Regions from separate parts of the Mus musculus genome. Here all the other regions are reported to be linked to region 2. The links are microRNA targets in miRTarBase. Many come from high-throughput screens and were not tested one by one. Region 2 holds a microRNA gene; each other region holds the end of a gene's coding sequence.

Region 1 (5,148 bases), not on the chromosome of region 2:
TTTTAAAAATAACTATTCTAATTGAGATAACTGATATCTCCTTGTAGATTTGTTTGTTGGTTTTTGGTTTTTTGAGAGAGAATGTTACAGCCCTGGCTAGCCTGGAACTCAGGACGCTCCAGAGTATAAGAATTATACTTATATAATTCTTATATATAAGATCTAATTCTTATATATGGCAGATTATAAGAATGTGCCAGTACCCCCATATCTCCACTGTGGTCTTATCATCCTGCTTGTTAGTGATGTTAGCTGCTTTTTCATATTTTAGGGGCTTGCCGTTAAGTTTGTTCATTGTAGGTATTTCTCATCACATGAATAGTTTCCTAACATTTTCTCCCAATCCACCGTCCTTTGCTATGCATAAGCACCTCGTTTAATAGAATCACAGTGTTGGTTCCTGCTTTGGTTGCTCATGTTTTCAAATCATGATCCTCAGTTGTGACTTTGTCAGCAGTGTGTGCAAGTCTCAGTGGCTTAGGTCAGTCTTGTAGGACTAGATCTGAGACAGGGCTTTTCCAGGTGCTGGGCTCTGGTTCAGTAGTCTGGGCAAGCACAGGTAGCCTGCCTGTGCCTTTCAGTGTAACGAGGTAGCATTGTAAATGAAAGTGAACCAAGAAATAAAATGAATCTTGAGACCGTTTTGTACTTTCCATGAAATATGGCTAGGCTTCTGAGATAGGAAACAGACAGAATTCTCTGTACTGAGTTAAGTTTGCCAGTTAACTGAGGTAGCAGAAAAGAAGGAATCTAAAAACCTGTTATTTACATAGGTGTGTGTGTGTGTGTGTGTGTGTGTGTGTGTGTGTATGTATATACACACAGAAGCATTCCTATTCTGTTTTCTTTCATCTTCAGATATGCAGGAACTGTACAGGTTCCTTTGACCGACATATCCCGTGTGTTTCCCTCAACTGCCCGGTACTTTTCAAACTCTCACGAGTAAACAGAGAATTATCCAAGGCCCCGTACCTGCGACAGTTACTGGACCAGTTTTAAGTTAGCAGTGTCACAGAATTCCAGGTGCTCTCTGCTCAGTGTTTACCACTCAGTTCCTCTGCATGGTGCTTTCTCAACCTCCATCAAGTCAAAGATGTTCACTGTCTGTCTGCCATCCAAGACTATGAAGATTTCTGCTAACGGGATTAAAAAGGATACATGCTGCTCTCTGGATAGCTTACTTCTTACAATGTACAAATTCCGCATCATTTCACCTTTGAACATTGTTTTATAATAATACAGGTGTTGGATTTGCTCCAGTTTATGTACCATCTTGTAAATCCATTTGAACAGATCATGTTTACTTCCCTGTGGAAGGAACACTGAAAACCTCTTAAAGTCATTCGTGTGTATTCCTTAAACTGTCTGTATCAGGATGTGTTGCTTAGAGATATCCACTCACTTTATAATTTTGACTGCAAAATATTTTGTAAATACACTTTTTTACTTTTCAAATAACTGAGTAAAATAATGTGCAATGAATTTTATACAATGATTTTCACGTTGTTGGTATATCTCCTCTAGGTTTTGCTTGACTCAAAGGTAGATTTGTTACTTTGATCAAACTGTGCAAATAGTACCATGTGTAGCATTTTTGAAACATTCTTTTCTAAAGACCGCTGTCTTGCTATAGCTACTAACGGGGCATTGTGAGGAACTGTGCAAAGACATTTTTGTTACAAACCTGTGGGCCTGTTGCAATACTTTAAAAATAAAATAAAAAAATTTATTCCATTTTGCTTGTTTTGTATAGACATTTCTATTGCTTCTAAATATGCTTAAAATATTTTCTTTCCTTATGTACTGTACAGTTAATCTTATTTGCCATCCCTTGAACACAAATGTGTATTTAGGATATTTGTATAACTGTATAAAATGAAAAAGGAATTATGTGGTCAGTGCATTGTTTTTTAAACTGGAAATCCTTTTGTTTTGAGAGTTAATAATGGAAACCAAATTAAAAATTGAATAAAATATGAAATACAGTGCTATGACTTTTATCTTAACATAAGCAGAATTCTCTTCATCGGTTCTATAAGCAACACGGGTTCCATCTAACCCTAGACTTTCCTAAATTCTAATGAGGTAAATTTGGGGCCTAGAGATGTAGCTCAATTGGTAGAGTACTTGCCTAGCATAGAGGAGGCCCTGGGTTCCATCCTCAGCACCACATAAACACAGCACAGTAAGCATGCGCTTAGGAGGTGGAGGCAGGACGGCCTGGAGTTCAAGGTCATTTACATGGTAGATCTGAGGCCAGCTGGGCTACAAAAGATCCTATCAAAATAAACAAACACCCCTCTACCTGTAACCCCAGACCTCTGGGAGGCTGAGGCAGGGCACCTGCAAATTCTAGTTCAACTTGGGCTACATGTAGTACGCTAGCTGTCTTGGAGGAGAATGGTAAACTTGGCTCATTTTTACAACCTGACTTCCATTCTTTTACCAAAACTTTGGGATTAGTGTTTTTTTAAGACAGCAGAATATTCTAGACAAAATTTAGCATCACCTTTTAGATCACATTGGTTGCTGCCAGTAAGAGGAAGTTCACTTCCATGCAGTCAGACTTTTAGATTAAGACTGCGGAGGGGAAACAAAGCAACATTTCCTTCCTTTTAAAAGCTTAAATGCCGATTATTTTCCCATAGAAAGGGCTCATAGACTGCCAGCTGCTTATCACCATGCAGGAGTTTCCCACTGCCAGGGGTTTTAGTTTTATTTTTATTTAGACAGGGTCTCTGTGTGTAGCCCCAGCTGCCCTGGAACTCACTCCGTGAAACAGGCTGCCTCTGCCTCCCCAGTGCTAGGATTAAAGGTGTGTACCACCATGCCTCACCACTGCCAGAATTTAAATACGTACTTTTATAAATAAGAGATTAACTTTCTGGAAATAACAATTATGGAACCAAAGAGATACAAATCATATCCTTCACAAGTCTTTTTAAACCATAGTCAATCCTCACTTTCTGGGATCTTTTTTTTATTTGTTGGGGGGGGGTGGGGGCTGGAGCTATCTGTAGTGTCAGAACTTTCACATGTATCATAGTAGCAAAATAGTATTTCAATAGTAATCATTTTGTATCATAAGTCAGCTGTTAATAGTTTTGTTTTTCCTCGGGTCAGACAGATCCATTTTTAGTAGTACTGAAGAAATTTTATTTTTTAGCATGTGTTCATTTATCTCAAAAAGAACTAGGAAAATTTTCCAGTGGGTAAAAATGTCTGTGCTTTAAGCATGAAGACCTAACTTCAAATCCCCAACACCTACATTAAATTTTTAAAAAGCCAGGCAAGGATGTATATTGAGAGGTGGAAATTCAGGTCCCATGAGCTCTGTAGTTAGCCAGCCTAGCAGAAATGACAAGAGTCCAGTTGGTTGAGAGACTCTGTCTCGGGGTAATAAAGGAGAAATTAATAAGGAAGACACCAGACATCGTGCTTTGGCCTCTGCATTTGTGAACACACACACACACACAAACTAGCTCAAAAGTAATTTCATTAAGCATTCCCTTAATTTGTTAAGATGTCTTGGGGTTTCCATTGCTGTGAAGAGGCATGATGACCAAGGCAACTCTTAAAAATTACTACATTTTTGGTGCTGACTTAAAGGTTCAGAGGTTCAATCTATTATCATCAAAGCAAGAAGCATGGCAGCATCCAGGCCAGATGGTGTTGGAGGAGCTACAAGTTCTGCATATTATGAAGGCAAGTGGGAAAAGACTGGCTCCCAAGTGGCTAGGAGGAGGGGCCCAAAGGCGACCCCCACAGTGACACTTCCAACAAGGCCATACCTCCTAATAGTGCCATTCCCTAGGCCAAGCATATTCAAACCACATTTCACTCCCTGGCCCCCATAGGCTTATTCAAACACATAAGTCTATGGGGGGCCATAGGTAAACAGCATAATGCAAAATACATTTAGTGCAAGTTCAAAAGTCCCCAAAGTCTATAGCAGTCTCAACAGTGTTAAAAGCCCAAAGTCAAGTCTTTTCTTAAACCCAGTCACTTAACTACAATCCCCTATAAAGTCAAAAGGCAGATCACATACCACAAACTTCACAAGGATATACATTACCACTCCAAAACAACATAGTGAAGGAATATGGGACCAGACCAGACCAAAAGAACAACTGGGCAAACTCCAAACTGCATCTCCATGTCTGATGTCAAAGCACATTCAGATCTCCAGCTCCTTTAATTCTTGTTGACAGCAACAAACTTTCTTCTGGGCTGGTTTTACTCTGTTAGCAGCTTTCCTTGGCAGGTATCCCATGACTCTAGCATATGTGACATCTTGGAGTCTACAAGGCAACTCAACATTAGATTCTTGTACCAGTGTCTAGGATCCACACATGATCCGGGCTCCTCCAAAGGGCTTGGGTTACTTCTCCAGCTTTGCCCTCTATAGCACTCTGACAACACTGTTGCTGCTGTTATTTGTGGTCATCCCATGGTACTGGCATCTCCAGTTGGCTGGAGTCTTCTACTGCAACTAGGCTTCACCAGTAGCCTCTCATAGGCTTCCTTCATGGTTCCAAGGCTCAACTTCTTTGCATGACCCCTTCAGTACTGGGCCATTAACTGCAACTGAGGCTGCACCTTCACCAGTGACCTTCCCAGGGCCCTCACAGTTCCAAGTCTCAGCTGCTCTCATTGGCCTTTTCATGCCTTCAAAACCAGTACCACCTGAGCAATTCTTACACACTACCAAGTCCAGCCACCTGGAAGACAGCTTCTTTGTGCTCTTACAAAACATGTCCCAGAAGATTTCACCTCAGTGATGCTGGTCTCTTCTTAATCACTGCTAATTTCTTAGCTCCAGCTAACCAGTTGTCTCAGTAGTCCCTTCTATTCTTGACTCTAAAGCCAAAGCGACATGGCAGAAGTTGCCTAGTTCTGCTGCTTGCTGGAGCTAGAACATGGCCCCTTTGTTCTATTACATTATCACCAGCTTTCTGTTATCCAACTCCTAAACTCTACATTTCTACAGAAAAAACATGGGCAGGCCTATCATAGCAATACCCAACTCCTGATACCAACTTCTGTCTTAGAGTTTCCAGTGCTACACTCAGAAGTTATAGAGACATTTTCTCAATTGCGGTTCCTTCCTTTCAAATGACTAGCTTGTGTGAAGTTGACATAAAAACT
Region 2 (5,148 bases):
GGTTCCCCAATGGTCATCAACCCAGAACACAAAACTGTTCCTAACGTTCTGGTTATCCAAGCAAGTCTTTAAGCATAAGCTGACCTTCTGCGATAATGTAGTCTATGCTTCAAACCCACAGTTTCAGTCCTCAACCTTCAGCAGAGGTAAAAAAAATATATATATAGAGCTCCTTTTATTTTCTCAACTTCAAGTCAAAGCCAGGTCCATTTCAATTTTGGTTTCTTTTCCATTTTAAGCAAAAGTCAGCTGGCAACCATGTCTTGGCAGGGATACATACCAATACTCCTTTAGACCACAAAACTGAGGTCAACTGCTCTTTCCAAAGCTGTGGAAATAAGTTCAGTGTCTATTTTTCCCCTCACTGAGATCTCCCCTTCCTATTTTAGAAATAGGAAGGCCGGACTTAACAGTGGAAACACTCTTAGCTTATGAGAGTATTAAGAACTGAGAACACAGAGCAGCTGGGGACACGGTCCCTTCCTGCCTTTGACCTGTGATCAGCTCTAGGTGTCCATAATTACAACACTGAACAAGGGTTTTGTTTTGTTTTTCCAAGATAAAAAGCAAATTCTTTAAATACTTCTGCCAGAACCCAAAATAGTGCTTTAGCAAAAGCTCTCAGGCAGGCAGGTAGCCTCTCCCATGTTTTCTACTGCATCCTCTCAGGTAATAATGACTTAGACAGTTTCTAGAACACTGTTGTCAGGACAAGCATGGCTATTTTCAAATTGCTGTGATGGAAGGAGGCACAAGTAAGGTTCTTCTGCTTTATGAAGCACTCATTCTGCAAATGGAGATCAAGCCAGCAGGAAATGATGATGCTTGATTTAAAGAAATGGGTGAAAAGATAATGACATTTCAATGAGCAAGGAACTTTCAACTCATAGCTTAGTCGGGGAGAAGTCAACCCTCAACTACCATCTACTTGCAGACAATCTACTTACTTCCATGGCAAAAAAGAGAGAGGGAGACTCCAAATCATCTCTGAGAAGCCTCATAATCCAGTGTCTCCCTTTCCAGATGGATCAGCACCAAGCCCTAGGAAAACACCTGACCGAATAGGTCAGTACAGAAAGGTACCTGCTCCATGCTAACACTCAGTACAGAAGGGTACCTGCTCCACACTAACAGTGGCTTCTCCAGTGCTGAGACTGAAAAACAGTGACAGTGAACAAACAGTATCACAGCACAGGGTCATCACTACACTGATGAGCAGCCAGCTCCAGACTAGGGGAAAAAATACATTTGCTTTAGTGGCAGGGTGAACTGCTGCCTCCTTCAGAGGGTGTGTTTTGGAGAGTAGGCACTTTTAAAGGACTTTAGGAGGTGCCAGCCAATTTGGAGCTTGGGAAAACTTCATGTCTACAGAGAATTAAAAAATGCTATCTTAGAATTTCAGGCCAGCTTTCAGCAATCTCAACCTTTTAAATGCCAGGCAGCAGCTGTCCTGAATAGGATGCCAATCAATAGCTCAAACACCTACAAAGAACTAAAACCAGGCAGCTAAAGGAGTGTTCTTGCTGTATACCTTTTAAAGGGAGATGGACTAAGTATAGTGGTCCATGCCTTGAATCCCAGCACTCAGGAGGCAGAAGCAGATAGATCTCTCCGAGTTCCAGAACAACCTGGTCTACACAGTCTAGTCTAGCCAGGGATACACAGGGAGAGCCTATCTCAAAAATCCAAACCAAACCAAAGAACAAAAGAGGGAGATGGGGTAGACCACCAGCAAATCTAACACCCTGACAGACCCAGAAGAACAAACAACTTTGGAGGAAGGTATAGGTCAGCAGCTCTCAACCTGTGGGTTGTGACCCCTTTGTGGGATGGAAAGATCCTTTCACATGGATCACCTAAGACTACTGAAAAACAGATAGTTGCATTAAAATTCATAACAGTAGCAAATTACAGTTATGAAATAGCAATGAAAAAAATTTTATTGTTGGGAGGTTATTACAACATGAGGAACTGTATTAAATGGTGCAGCATTAGGAAGGCTGAGAACCACTGGTATAGGATAATAACTTTCTCTTTAGTCATCTATTCAGCAGGCAGCCCATAGTGAACAATCAGTACAATAAGAGCAATGCCTGACTGCATCACAGATCTTACCACCTTGTCTTTAAAGGAAACTCCTGGTGGATACATGGGAGCAAAAATCCAATAAGGAAAACAGGCTCATGGTATTATCAGCTCCAAACGAAGAGAGACAGTCTGAGTTCTTGTGACTTCTCAGAGAGAAAGGAAGTAACCCAAGAAAAGGAGACAAGTTCATGGGCACAAACCTGCAATGTCTCAAAGCCGATGAGCGCAGCCGGGGACGACTGTGGCAGCCTGCCGCTGTAAACATCCGACTGAAAGCTCCTCTCAACACCTTACAGCTTCCAGTCAAGGATGTTTACAGTAGCAAAGACTGCCCAGAAAAATAAAGAGCTTCAGTGAGGCACAACCTGCTCCCATAAGGAGGTGACCCAGGGCTTGCTAACCCAAAAACCCTCATGCAGGGTCAGAATTAATGTCAATTAGGATGCCCACTTCTCCAACAGGTTTTCTGACTGGTTATTTGTACAGGTCAACATGGGGAGAATGGTTGTCATTAAATGACTCTAAACAGTATACTACAAAATAATTAGTTAAAAACACTTATATTTTATGAACAAAAATAAAACAAGCAGGACATGGTATGGCTTTACTTCTCTGAGGCATATTACACTAAACCTAGTGAATCATGCAAACTGCGTGCCTGAAACAATGAGCTCTATAGGACTGGGGTCTATCACAATCACAACTAAGTTATATGCACCCAAGTGCTGAACAAAACAAATGGTGTGATCTTTGGAGATGAACAGGCAGAAGAAGGGCAGACACTTAGTTCTTGTAATTAAAAAGAAAAATGTAAATGGTGGTTCTAAAACTTCACTGGACACCAAAGCATCTAGGGAACTTTAATTATTGATTCCTGGGGTCATGGGGTCATAGGTTCTGACTCAGTGGATGATGGGTAGAGTCATCACACTACAGAGACACAGCATAGAGTAAGAAAATAAAAGCCACTGGCTCCAATCTGATCACTATGCACAAAGAGGTTGTTTCTTAGAATCTGAAAACTGACTGGCTGAAAAAGCTTTTATTTTAGATGAAGAAATCCTGAACTGAGCTTCACCCCACTATCTGTGACTAGTCTTTTTAACTTTGTTCTCTCACTGCAACCCCACCCCAGAGGCACTGAGTTAAAAGTACCCATAAATGAGTAGAAGGAGATGCTGAGGATGATCTGGACTACGGAAGAGAACCACAAACAAGAAATGCTTTGGGTGGGAGGGAGGGAGGAGCTCCGGAGAGCATCTTGCCCAGGCCCTGGAGGTGGCAGCTGAGCAAATCCTCCCAGCTCACCTGGCGCTTTGGAGGTTTCAGTTCATCTCTTGGAACAATATCGATGAGAAAGTCGAACTGATCAAATTTTGTAATTGCCATGGCAATATCATTCCTCTGTAACAAAGAAAAACAAAGTTAAAAACTGGCCTAGGAAGAATCTAGTTCTTTTGGCTGTTATCCTTCAAGTAAAAGGACATGATCCTCTCCTATCCCCTAGTCCCAGTGTCTGGGATTAAACCTAGAGCTTTACACAAGCTAGACAGGTATTCTACCATTGAGCTATGCCCCAGCCCAAGGAGATGACTTTTAGACTGTACTAAAAATCTCTAGGTTTGTCTAGAGCTAAAAATAAGAACAGCTCAATTTATATCAGACTTGCTGGACAGAAATCAACGAAAGAGATACACATATCTCGTGCTCTAGGCCAGGACATCTGAGCCCTACTCACCACTATTTCTGCTTGTTCTGGTTTCAAAGCTTCCATAAAGTTGTAAAACCACCATCCTCTGGCTAATTCAGGACAAAGCCAGCAGTCTCAACTGGCATTCTGTGGTCCACAAGGTCAGCCCATCATTCACTTGTATGATCTTTTTAAAGGCCCTAAGCACTGTTTGTTGTTGTTGTTGTTGTTTTTCTTTTTACAGGCACTTATAATCCAGTCGCTTGATTTTTATGTTACCTATGGGTTTTAGTTTAGAAATCAAAACTGCACTGCTTAATGAATAGTTTAATCCGAATTTGAGCCTGAATACTCAAGCCTGAATTTACTATAGGTAGGTAGTGAACACAGAGCTGAAAAGAATGTCACAAGTGGACTTTCTCTTCAAGTCTGATATTATTCCCCTTCCTTTGAATAATAAAAATCAACACTTTTTCTCCCATATGATTTGTGTACTTTATTGAAAGTTTTAAGGTTAAAAAAACAAAAACAAAACCACTAAGCTCAAGTGAGTGATATAGTTAAGTATATATGGGAAAGTAATTTTTGAAATGTATTTAAAAATAGATCACTTTATGGCTGAAGTGAGAGGTATGATAAATTTGTTTTTCTTACTTTATTTATTTATTCATTCATTCATTCATTCATTCATTCATTTCCCCCCTTCCCTTCTTCCTCTTGCTCCTGGGCCCCACTTGCTCCCGGGACCCACTCACTCCAGTCCATAGGTTTTTTTGTTGTTTTTGTTTTTTGTTTTTTAAAAGTATTATTATCTGTTTCTCATTATGGATGGTTGTGAGCCACCATGTGGTTGTTGGGATTTGAACTCAACATCCAGAAGAGCAGTCAGTGCTCTTAACTGCTGAGCCATCTCACCAGCCCAATTTGTTTGTTTTTCAAGACATGGTTTCTCTGTATAGCCCTGGTTAGTTATCCTGTGGCCTGCTAAAGTAAAACTTTAACAGCAGAATTTGGGGAAAAACTAAACAGGTACGTACTATAAATCCTTGACAATAGCATAACAAGGAAAAGCAAACAAACTCAAAAACTCCTCAGCAACCTCTCGATCCCACATCTGAAGCAAAGGGCCAAAAGGAGTCATGGAAATGTTCTGTTTTTTCCTTCCCTAGTATCTGTCATGGTCCCAAGCCACTGAAATGCAAATCTCCAATCCACCCTTCTTGCCAACTACCAACTTCATAATAAACCCTCCTAACGAAGAAGGGCATTATCTTACAGTCTGCCAGAACTCATCTAAGATGAACACACTAGTATAGCCTTCTTGATAATGACACCTATTCATGCTAACTAAACAGCTCCCTAAGAATGAA
Region 3 (5,148 bases), not on the chromosome of region 2:
AGTGAAAGCTGGGACCAACAGTACATATTTTATGCTTTGTGGGCCATGCAGTTTGGCACTCTGATTCAGTCCCATAAAAGCAGCCACAAACAAGATGGAAGATTTGTGCAGCTGTGCATATGGATACAACTCATGTGTTTATGTCTATAACTTTTAAGTACACTGAGTTTAAATTTCATATCTTTTGCACACATGAAACCTTTTTCCCCAACCACTGAAAGCCATCGGAGGCTGGGTGCAGCGGGAAACGGTAATCCCAGCACTAATGAAGAGTTTGAGGGTAGCCTAAACTATGGTACATGCCTGTAATCCTAGCAACTTGGGAGGGTGAGGCAGGATCCTGCCTATGATTTTAGGGTTAGACTGGTGGTTTTTAGGCTTGCTGGGTGGTTGTGGTTCTACTTCCTTTAAAATAAGAAGAAAAAGATATAGAACATATCTTAGCTCATGAGCCATAGAAAAACATGTAGCAAGCTAGATTTGCCCCCATAGACACTGATTGCAGAGCCAGCTCTAACACTCCACCCACAAAGCTGTCCAGAGCCTTGGAACTGGCAGGCTTTCCTTACAGTGCACAATCAGCGCCACTTAGAAGCCAGACAGAGCTCTCTTTGCAGTCACCATGTTTTTTTGCCAAGTGAAAGTATGTTGTTGACACTGTGGCCTCACATGCACTTCCTGCCTCCCCTAATACTGGATCCTTTTCCCTCCCATAGGTGGTGGGCTCCTCCATGCCACTCATTGGTGATCACCAGGATGAAGACAAGCAGCTCATCGTGGAACTTGTGGTCAACAAGATGACTCAGGCTCTGCCTCGGCAGCCGCAGCGGGATGCTTCCCCTGGCAGGGGCTCCCACAGCCAGGTCAGGCCCTTGGTCTTGAGCTAGTGGGAAGGAGGCCAGCCCTTCATCAACCTGATGCCATAGAGGTGGTATCAATGGACTATTAATGTCACCTTTATGCACTTGTGGCCTCACTAAATTGCTGCTACCTTGCCATCTTTAAGAGTCTCCTGACCAAATATGGGGTGAGAGGCCTCATAGCTCCATATCCCCTCAACTGGCCACAAATGGGGCAACACCCAGCACACAGGGAACCCATGTCGTTTTGATTGGCTGTTGCTCCCACTCTCCGGTAACTATTTTTAATCTCTTGTATTCCACTCTTCTGCCACAGTCTTCATCCCCAGGAGCCCTGACCTTGGGCCGCCAGACCTCCCAGCAGCCTGCAGGTCCTCCTGCTCAACAACGACCCCCACCCCAGGGTAAGTGAGGGCAAGCCTTCTGGGTTCCTACCATCCCAGGCGGCCTCAGCTCTCACTCACTCTCACTTGCTGTTCTTTTTTTCTGTTCCTAGGAGGCCCTCCACAGCCAGGCCCAGGACCTCAGCGCCAGGGACCCCCGCTGCAGCAGCGCCCACCCCCACAAGGCCAGCAACATCTTTCTGGCCTTGGACCGCCAGCTGGCAGCCCTCTGCCTCAGCGCCTACCAAGTCCCACCGCAGCACCTCAGCAGTCTGCCTCTCAGGCCACACCAGTGACCCAGGGTCAAGGCCGCCAGTCGCGGCCAGTGGCAGGAGGCCCTGGAGCACCTCCAGCAGCGCGCCCACCAGCCTCCCCATCTCCACAGCGTCAGGCGGGGGCCCCGCAGGCTACCCGTCAGGCATCTATCTCTGGTCCAGCTCCAACGAAGGCCTCAGGAGCCCCACCCGGAGGGCAGCAGCGCCAGGGCCCTCCCCAAAAACCCCCAGGCCCTGCTGGTCCCACTCGTCAGGCCAGTCAGGCAGGTCCCGGACCTCGCACTGGGCCTCCCACCACACAGCAGCCCCGGCCCAGCGGCCCAGGTCCTGCTGGACGTCCCGCCAAACCACAGCTGGCCCAGAAACCCAGCCAGGATGTGCCACCACCCATCACCGCCGCTGCCGGGGGACCCCCGCACCCCCAGCTCAAGTAAGGGGACCTTTATAGCAGCCTTGGCCTTTGCTGCTCACAGAGTGCACTGTCCCCAGTAGGGCATCCCCAGATCCCAAGGAAAACCAGATCTCCTTTGCCTGGGCCAAACCCCTTTTGTCTCAATCCCAGCAGTTGAGGGAGAATCCCAGCATCTCCACTTCCAGTTCAGATTCCTCCCCTACAAGCCCTGGGAAAGTCCCCCTTCCAGACCTTTGGCCCATCCCAGTAGCCTGGCTGACCTACTTCCAGTACTTCCCTGTCCATCTGATCTCTTATTATCACCCTCCTCCCAGACAGCCCTGAACTCCCTCAGGCCAATTTGCAGCAAGCCTTCCATCATTTCCCTTTTCAGCCTTTCCTCAAACCTTCCCTAAGACTCCTTTCTGGTCCATTGCCAGATACTCCTGCCACTTCAAACTCTCCCAGATCATACCATCCTTTCTGCTTCTCCTTGTCCATTCTATTCCCCTAGCCCTTAGCTCCAAAGTTTTCCCTGGCCCCCACCCCCACCCCATCTGTTCCCCCTCAGACTGGCTTACCTCATACTAGACTGTCCCTAGCCCAGGCTCCTCCTAGGCTCCTTGCTGGAACCCCTCCTTTCATCCTCCATATCAAACTGACCAAGGAATCTTCCCATTAAACCACACCACTTTATCTTATATCTAAGTCCTCTCAGCTGACCCCACATTCGCCTCAGTCTCAGCTTCATCACCCTTGAGAATCCATCAGGGTTCAGGGGCATGCTTGGGGGTGGGAAGGTCACAGGCACAGCCTCAGGATCAGAGGGGCAGGGCTGGGGCTGGGCCTAGGGTAACATTGTGTTTCTCTCCCTTCCTCCCCTTCCTCTTCCCCCTTCCTCCCATGCCTCCACCTTGTCTCTCTCTAGCAAATCCCAGTCTCTGACCAATGCCTTCAACCTTCCAGAGCCAGCCCCTCCCAGGCCCAGCCTTAGCCAGGACGAGGTGAAAGCTGAGACCATCCGCAGCCTGAGGAAGTCTTTCGCCAGCCTCTTCTCCGACTGACATCCCACTCTGAGAACCCCTAAACCCCTAGACAGCCCTCTCTGGGTCCTGAGTCCATTTCTCACTTTTGGAACCTCCAAATCCCTTGAGAACCCCTCTCCTGGTTCTCCTAGAGCCCACTTCTCATTCCTCAGTATGTCCCTTGAGAAACCTGGTCCTAAATCCAGTTCTCACATTTGGGAATCCCCAAGTCCATTTAGAATCCTGTTCCTGGTCACCTCCAGATCTGTTTGAGAACCTCCAAACTCCTGAAGACCTCTACTTCTGGTACATCTAAAGGGTGATTTCTTCCCTGAAAGTTCCTGAATGGCAGAAAACCTGTTTCTGACCTAATACATCGAATCCTCTCCTGGAGCTCTGAAATTCCTGAAAAACCCTATTCTACTCTTGGTCCTGAATCTCTCCAACACACCTTGCTCCTAATCAGAAATTTCCAATTCCATAAGAAGCCCCTATCCTTAAACCTCTTCCATAGGTCATCTCTCTGGAGATCCACATCTTCAAATGCCACCTACCATCCACCAAGCAGTCCCTCAAGGACTTCCCTTCACCTCTTCCTCTCCATCCCATTCAATATACTGGAAGTTCCTTCCACTTCTAGGACCCCTAAGTTCCCTCCTCCAGAAACCCCTCCCCAATTTCCTGCCTCTGACAGCTGTCTTTAAATATGCAAACTCCACCCATCCTCAGAATCCTTTGCACAAGGAAGGCCTGTGGTCTCCCACTCCCCTACCTTTGCCAATGTGTTTATCTGTGACTGACTTGGCCTCCTTTTGTGCCATGCTTGGCATATGTGGTCCTCATTCATGCCGCCTGTGGTAATGCGTACAGTGGCACTGTTTTTGTGGTCTGCATCTTCCTCCAACCTCCACTCCTTGCCTGGACTTGCCCCACCCCTCAGCGGCTCTGAACCCCCAAGAGAAGAGTCGGGAAGCAAAATAAACAAGCAAAGGCCCAGCAGAATTCTGTGCTTCTTGGTAAAGAGGAGAGTCCTTGAATAGTGGGGGAGACAAAAAGAAACCCCCAAATCTACATGGGGTGCTGGGAACCCCAAAATCCAGTGAAGACACATCAGGCAAAAACTTTAGAAAGAGGTTCTGAGTGGAATCCTTGCACTGAGTCACAGCCATTGGAGATAAAACAGCTCTCCAAATTAGAACTATCCCCAAACCCAAGAGGAGACCAAATTATGGAGAAAGCAGGAGACCTCAGTTTTTGGGGTCCCTCAAATTTCCCAGGGTATGGGATAGGGAATCCTGAGGCAGTATCAAGGCAGAGGCAGAACAGTTATTGGCTGGTAGGTCGGTGTGCCTTGGCATGGTATGCTGAAATTGGCTCCCTGGTGGGCTGGGAGTGAGGTCTAAGGCACAAGACGGGCTGCGCTGAGAAGGCAAGCAGGCAACTCATCAGCCTGGGTGCGGTGCAAGGAGGGTTCGGAGGCACTCCGCTCAATCTTGGGGAGTGACCGCTGCAGTAGCTCGATCGTGGCCAGAATCTGGGAGCGGGTGGAGATGAAGAGGGGTGTCCAGAGTCCCAGAGATACTCCAATATCCCCAATCCCCAGCTTTCAACATGGTTCACATTCAATATCTGCCTCTATCTCTTTACTCACAGTGCATCTCCCCAAGGTATCCAGCCCTCCTACCCAGCCCACCTGGGGAAATAGGGGCCGCTCCTCCCGCTGGAACTTGAGGCAGTCAGTCAGCAGGCGCCTCATGGCTTTGGGGCAATTACTGAAGATTTTGCTGAGGTCCGGAGACAGATAGCCACGGCCCACCATAAAGATGATCTGGTGTGTGGGGAGGAATGGGTTGATTTGGGGTTTGAGCTGGGAGGCCCAGGGATCTATGAATCTTAAAATATATGTTAGGTTAATTTTTGAGGACTAGAGGTGTCTAGTACTAAGGCCCAGAGGAGTCTGTGTCCCTGAGGACTAGGGAGGATTTTCTGCTGATAAAAGAGAGGGATTTATATTAAGGCTGTCAAAGACTGTAGGTGTGTATGGCCCAGAACAATAGGAGTCTGGAGTTATTAAGGGGCATAAGCTCAGAAAATACTAAGATTCGGGAAAATGCAGAGCACTACTTCTTGGGGGAAACTTCCATTTCTGTAGGAGTCTGGGGCATAAATAAGTCTATGTAGACTTACTTATGTAGTACTCAAAGCTCAAATACT
Region 4 (5,148 bases), not on the chromosome of region 2:
AGCACTGGGACTAAGGGGGCATGCAGAGCTGCCACTACCCACTAAGACTTTTCTTTCATGGGAAGAATTTTACTCACTCATTGTTGGCTAAGTATTAAGAATTGTAATGCAAGGGCTGCAGAGATGGCCCAGCGGTTACGAGCGCTGCTCTTCCAGAGGATCTGAGTTCAGTTCCCAGCAACTACATGGTGGCTCACAACCATCTGTAATGGGGTCTGATGCCCTCTTGTGGTGTGTCTGAGGACAGCTACACTGTACTCATATATATAAAATAAATCTTAAATATATTTTTAAAGTTAGGTATTTTTTAAATCAAAGTCAACCTGATTTAGTGAGTTCTAGGCCAGCCAGGACTATAGAGTGAGACCCTTTCTCAAAAGCAAAAACAAAAAAGACTTTAAAAAGTTGTCAGTCTGCGAATATAGCTCAGAGTTCCCCATTATGTACCCCGTTAATAAAAGTTATAATATGAAATTTAGGAATAGATAAAGCTGTTACCTGTATTAAACACGGTTCAAATCTATATGATACACTTACTTACATTTAAAACATTTGTTTTATTTCTAGGCTCCCGGGGGGCTTTCTGTGAAGTAAGACCAGATGATAAAAGGATTCTGGAATTTTACAGCAAGTTAGGCTGTTTTGAAATTGCAAAAATGGAAGGATTTCCAAAGGATGTGGTTATACTTGGTCGAAGCCTGTGACACTTGTTGGTACTGTGAACTGTCCAAAAGTCCCTTAACTCCGCCTTGTGGTTGGTGGTTGAGGTCTTCACACAGTTCAGTGTCTGGAGCTGGAGCGGCAGCAGATCAGCCAGTTGACTTGGAAACAAAGATGACTGTAAAGCGCACCCATCACCTTCTCAGATGCTCACTGGTTGGGAGAAGATAGTATTGCTGCATACCCCGTGCAGCTTGTGGTGTGCTCCTCTTTGGGTCTTGTGTTAGGGTCAGGGCCTCTTACGTGGGGCTCTCTAGGGAGAGATTCTTAAATAAATGGAGTCAGCACTATTTTCTGCATCCAGTGTGGTTGCATTTCTCACCTAAGAGCAACGAAGTTCACTCTCTTTACTCTCCTTGGTGTGCTGGATGAAATGTCTCTGTTCTTTGGAGACATGGCTGGAATGAGAAATTTAGTGAGTTTCAATTTGGGCAATTTTTCTGCTTTTTGTAAAGTTCTGGGCAACTGTCTCCTGTAACTGTTGGTTCAGGCCATTGAGCTTTGTTAGGGACAAATGTGCATTTGTTTGTGGCCAAGGCCTAAATTGACAAACTTGTAAATCTCTGTATATAGATTAGCTGTAACCCGACTGTTCTTTGTTTACTGTTTTATATATTATGGGGTTTTTTTTTCCTTTGAAAATGAAAGGTGTTGGTTTAGGATGGCACTTTGAATTATGTAAATCAGTGAATGGTAGATTTCCTTTACATCTGTCCTTTTCTTCCTAATAGTTTTTATTTTTGAAGTGCCTCCCACATAGGGTTAGGCCATGACTATTTAGGGTATGAGCACCTAACTTCTTATGACTCAGATATGTTGGGAAGTGCAGTAACTCCTGGGAATTAACCTTAATAGCAGATCCGCATGTGAAATGTTCTGACATTGTTAAGTAAGGGTAAGGGGACTGACCAGTGGTCTCCTTTGTCCTTGAACAGTTGTCATTTAATCGCAAAGACCTGTTAACTACTGGTTTAATCGAATCAGTCCTTAATTCTTGCATGTTTGTATCTAATTTTTAAAAGAAAGAATAAGTATATGTTAACAATATGTATACTTTTTCTTTTAATCAGAGATTCTGAAAACTTCATGTTATTTTAATTTAGATTTGGTGAATTTAAGGGTTTTGAGCATGAAGCTGGCACATAGTGTCTGCAGGATTATTATTCTTTAATCATGGCTAGCTATCTAGTAACGTCATAGATTTTCAACAGTCTTTTGTTACCTTGCTTTCCTCCAGTTCTACATAGCTTTTGAACTTTGAGCTGAGGGGGGAGAGAGAAGAGGGAGCTTGAAACATTTTCCTTTCTAGAACTCCAGTGTGAGCTTGTGAGGTAGTCTTTTAGCACTATATAGAGTGGACCCAGGGAGGCCCAAGAACCAGAGGCCCAAGAGTGTGCTGAAATGTGCCGCCTCCTTAGGGTGCGAACCTTTGCGATAGGATGTGCTGTGAAACCTAAGTCAAGGTTGGTTTTGAAGGCTGGGGTGAGGGGCAAAATTGTTACTAGATATTAAGACCGTTTAATGTTCCTTAGCGTTCTGAATCCATCTCATGCCTCAGTGAGAATTACAAGGTTTTATTCAGAGCGTTTCAGAGTTTCATACGGAATCAGGAATTGAACAAGTTGCTTTTTGTTTAATGTTGGCTTTCAATAATCACATGGGATGATCTTCTGGACATAAGTGAAAACATGTCCAGGTCTCTACTGTCATTGCTGTAGGATAAAGTGCTCTGCCATCTTCCATGGTTATGAATATTTATTAATGTTGGAATAACATTTCATTGTTTAGATCACAGCTCAGTTCCTATAGAAAACGAACTGTAAACCTATCTGCAGACCATGCAAGAGGCACAATAAAACTTGAAGTGAATGTGTGCTGTGCTGCTTTTTCTCTGGGTTCTCCCTTTTTTTCCCTCACATCTCTTGATCCCTTAGGTATCCGAAGCTATTTCAGTGTAGGCTGGATTGAAGACAGCCCTGCCCTCCTGCCTTCCACAGCAAAGATTTTTCTCAGAAAAGTACATTTGTTTTTGTTTTTAAGTAAGTTGCTCTGTTTACTACAGGTAAAATTTGTGTGAAGTTGGGGGGGGTGTCACAGAGTTCCTCACTGGAACATGGCTTCATTTCCTTAGATAAAGGAATTTTGGTGGTGGAGGGGGGGGGTGGGTCGCCTAAAGAGGAGGCTGTACTATGAACAGTAGTTGATCTCCACATCTGAGTTTAGGTCTTGGCTGTCAAGCCTCCAGCATGATCAGGAAGCGGGGGGGGGGGGGGGGGGGGGGGGGGTGTGAGTAAAAATGGCTGCTCCGTACCCCAAGTTTACTGAAAAAGGAGATACGAAAGGTTTACACTAACATCTGTATGTATATATCCCCGGGTTGGAAGAAGGGGCTTCAGTGAGTGGACGCTAACTTTAAGCCCTCGTGGAGATTTCTTCTGGGGCCTTGTTACCTGTCCTCGTGGAAGAGGCGACGACTGCTCCTCCCTGCTTCGTGTGGCGAGCGCGGCTCCTTTAATGGGCGGGACCGGAACTGGCTGAGGCGGGGGGCGGGGCGCTCACGGCCGTTTCAGCATGGCGGCCGGCGCGGCGGCTGCTTTAGCGTTCTTGAACCAAGAGAGCCGAGCCCGAGCTGGGGGCGTCGGGGGCCTGAGGGTCCCGGCCCCGGTCACAATGGACAGTTTCTTCTTCGGTATTGAACGCGGGAGTGGCAGAGTGGTACGGGGCGGGTGAGGCGTGGCCGAGGAAGGCGGCCGGGCGCCGCTGTGGCCGGGCGCAGCTGTGGGCCGAGGGCTCCTCGCTCGCTCGCCCTAACCGGTTCTTCCCGAGTGGGATGCCCGTCCACGTGTTCTGGGCGAGCAAGCGGCCGGTTCCCCCCCCGCCGCCGCGGCACATGGCCGGGTGGAGGGGACAGCGGAGTTTGTGGAGCGTCCTCGCGCGCTGTCCCCTCCACGCGTGTACCCAGGCGACACTCGCTGGCTCTTGCAGGTTGTGAGCTCTCCGGCCACACCCGCTCCTTCACTTTCAAGGTTGAGGAGGAGGATGACACGGAGCACGTGCTGGCGTTGAACATGGTAAGGGGCCGCAGAGGGAGTTGGAGATGCGGGGGGCTAGCCGACACTCCGCCTGTCGCCCCTCTCCTCCACCCTCTGGTCCCCGCATCCGGTGCCACTGGGACTAGGCCGATTTTGGGGTAAGACGCCTTGGCTTTGGTGTCAGCCCTCCCTCACTTGAGACGCTGAGGTTCTGCCTGCCTTTCAGCTGTGCCTTACCGAGGGGGCCACGGACGAGTGTAATGTGGTGGAAGTTGTGGCCCGGGATCACGACAATCAGGAGATTGCAGTTCCTGTGGCCAACCTCAGGTTGTCTTGCCAGCCCATGGTGAGTTGGAGCCGTTCATTCCTCTCGGAGTCTGGTGGGACTGAGAACTTCGGTATTGATCTCCAAGTGGGTGGGCCAGCACGGCTCAGCCCGTCATTCTTGTCTTCCAGCTCAGTGTGGATGATTTCCAACTCCAACCACCTGTCACCTTCCGCCTGAAGTCCGGTTCTGGCCCAGTTCGGATCACTGGCCGGCATCAGATCGGTGAGAAGAGTGGGCCCTCTCCACTCCCGACTTACCCCAGTCTCATCTCCTAGTGTGTCCTGCATCTCAGGCTATGGTTCCAGTATTCTGTGCCTCCCACTGCCTCCTTCAGGCCTGGGAACTTGCTGTACCCTGCCTGCCCCAGGGGTCCAACTCCAGCGAGGTGGGTGGGCTCTTTTCCATCTAGACTTGGGGACTCTGGGAGATGAGGTTCCCTGTCAGCCTAGCAGCTGAATGAGTGGCTCTATCCTTGTGTATCCACCAGTTTGTATAAACAACGACCTTTCTGAAGAAGAAAGTGATGATGAGAGCGAAGAAGATGAAATTAAGCTGTGTGGCATCCTTCCTGCCAAGAAGCACAGGGGCAGGCCTTAGCCCCCTGGTGAGTGTGTGGGTGGAGGGTGGGGTCGGTTGGTGGGATTCCCGAAGGATCTGGGAAGTTTAGGGGCAGCAGGTGAGGAGGAAGACTCTGACTTCATTCTTGCTTTTCTCAGATCAGGTAACTGCTTGCTACAGGTGCCATGCTCCGTATGTTCCTGGACAAGTTCAAGAATGGTTTTCTCGATGAAGAGAATAGGGGGTGGGAGGGAGGGATGGACTGTGGTTCCTGAGGCTTCCCTTTTCTATTGGGGTGGGACAACCTTTGAACACCTCTTCTGACCCACCTAACCCAGATTCAGTCCCCAGCACTGCAAAAAAAAAAACAAAAAACAAAAAACAAAAGAACATGAAGTTCAGAACACATTTTTAACACTTTGTACTTTTTTTGATAAATATCTAAATAAAGTGGTGTACGGTTGGTTGTTTTGCAATCCTTGTGTGGCTTTTTCAATGCTGAGATGACAT

The links. Region 2 holds the annotated microRNA mmu-miR-30e-5p (UGUAAACAUCCUUGACUGGAAG, at 2,385-2,406, opposite strand). A microRNA usually pairs through its seed, bases 2 to 8, with sites in the 3' UTR of a target mRNA and lowers its output. Matches are read on the target gene's strand: a 7mer-m8 pairs with bases 2 to 8, a 7mer-A1 pairs with bases 2 to 7 and ends in A, and an 8mer does both.
Region 1: miRTarBase lists Rev3l as a target of mmu-miR-30e-5p. Seed matches in the 3' UTR shown: 7mer-m8 at 1,039-1,045 and 7mer-m8 at 1,298-1,304.
Region 3: miRTarBase lists Araf as a target of mmu-miR-30e-5p. The part of its 3' UTR that is shown has no 7-base or 8-base seed match.
Region 4: miRTarBase lists Oga as a target of mmu-miR-30e-5p. Seed matches in the 3' UTR shown: 7mer-m8 at 1,318-1,324.

Annotation. Positions count from the first base shown.
Region 1 is chr10:39,873,226-39,878,373 of GRCm38, forward strand. Rev3l (REV3 like, DNA directed polymerase zeta catalytic subunit) reads left to right here. Exons shown (of 32, transcript NM_011264.3): 32 at 859-1,981. The coding sequence ends at 999. Among named protein-coding and RNA genes, the nearest start is that of Mfsd4b4, 23 kb to the right of the region's middle.
Region 2 is chr4:120,770,276-120,775,423 of GRCm38, forward strand. It overlaps Mir30e (microRNA 30e), which reads right to left and starts at 2,422; the gene lies at 2,331-2,422. Nfyc (nuclear transcription factor-Y gamma) reads right to left here. Exons shown (of 10, transcript NM_008692.4): 5 at 3,397-3,492. It overlaps Mir30f (microRNA 30f), which reads left to right and starts at 2,331; the gene lies at 2,331-2,422.
Region 3 is chrX:20,859,299-20,864,446 of GRCm38, reverse strand. It overlaps Araf (Araf proto-oncogene, serine/threonine kinase), which reads right to left. Exons shown (of 16, transcript NM_009703.2): 15 at 4,628-4,762; 16 at 3,926-4,468. The coding sequence ends at 4,334. Syn1 (synapsin I) reads left to right here. Exons shown (of 13, transcript NM_013680.4): 10 at 717-863; 11 at 1,177-1,264; 12 at 1,357-1,948; 13 at 2,838-3,936. The coding sequence ends at 2,973. It overlaps Mir5617 (microRNA 5617), which reads left to right and starts at 1,265; the gene lies at 1,265-1,321.
Region 4 is chr19:45,747,700-45,752,847 of GRCm38, reverse strand. It overlaps Oga (O-GlcNAcase), which reads left to right. Exons shown (of 16, transcript NM_023799.4): 16 at 568-2,593. The coding sequence ends at 704. Npm3 (nucleoplasmin 3) reads left to right here and starts at 3,283. Exons shown (of 6, transcript NM_008723.2): 1 at 3,283-3,409; 2 at 3,706-3,791; 3 at 3,979-4,098; 4 at 4,209-4,302; 5 at 4,568-4,684; 6 at 4,797-5,114. The coding sequence starts at 3,292. The coding sequence ends at 4,677.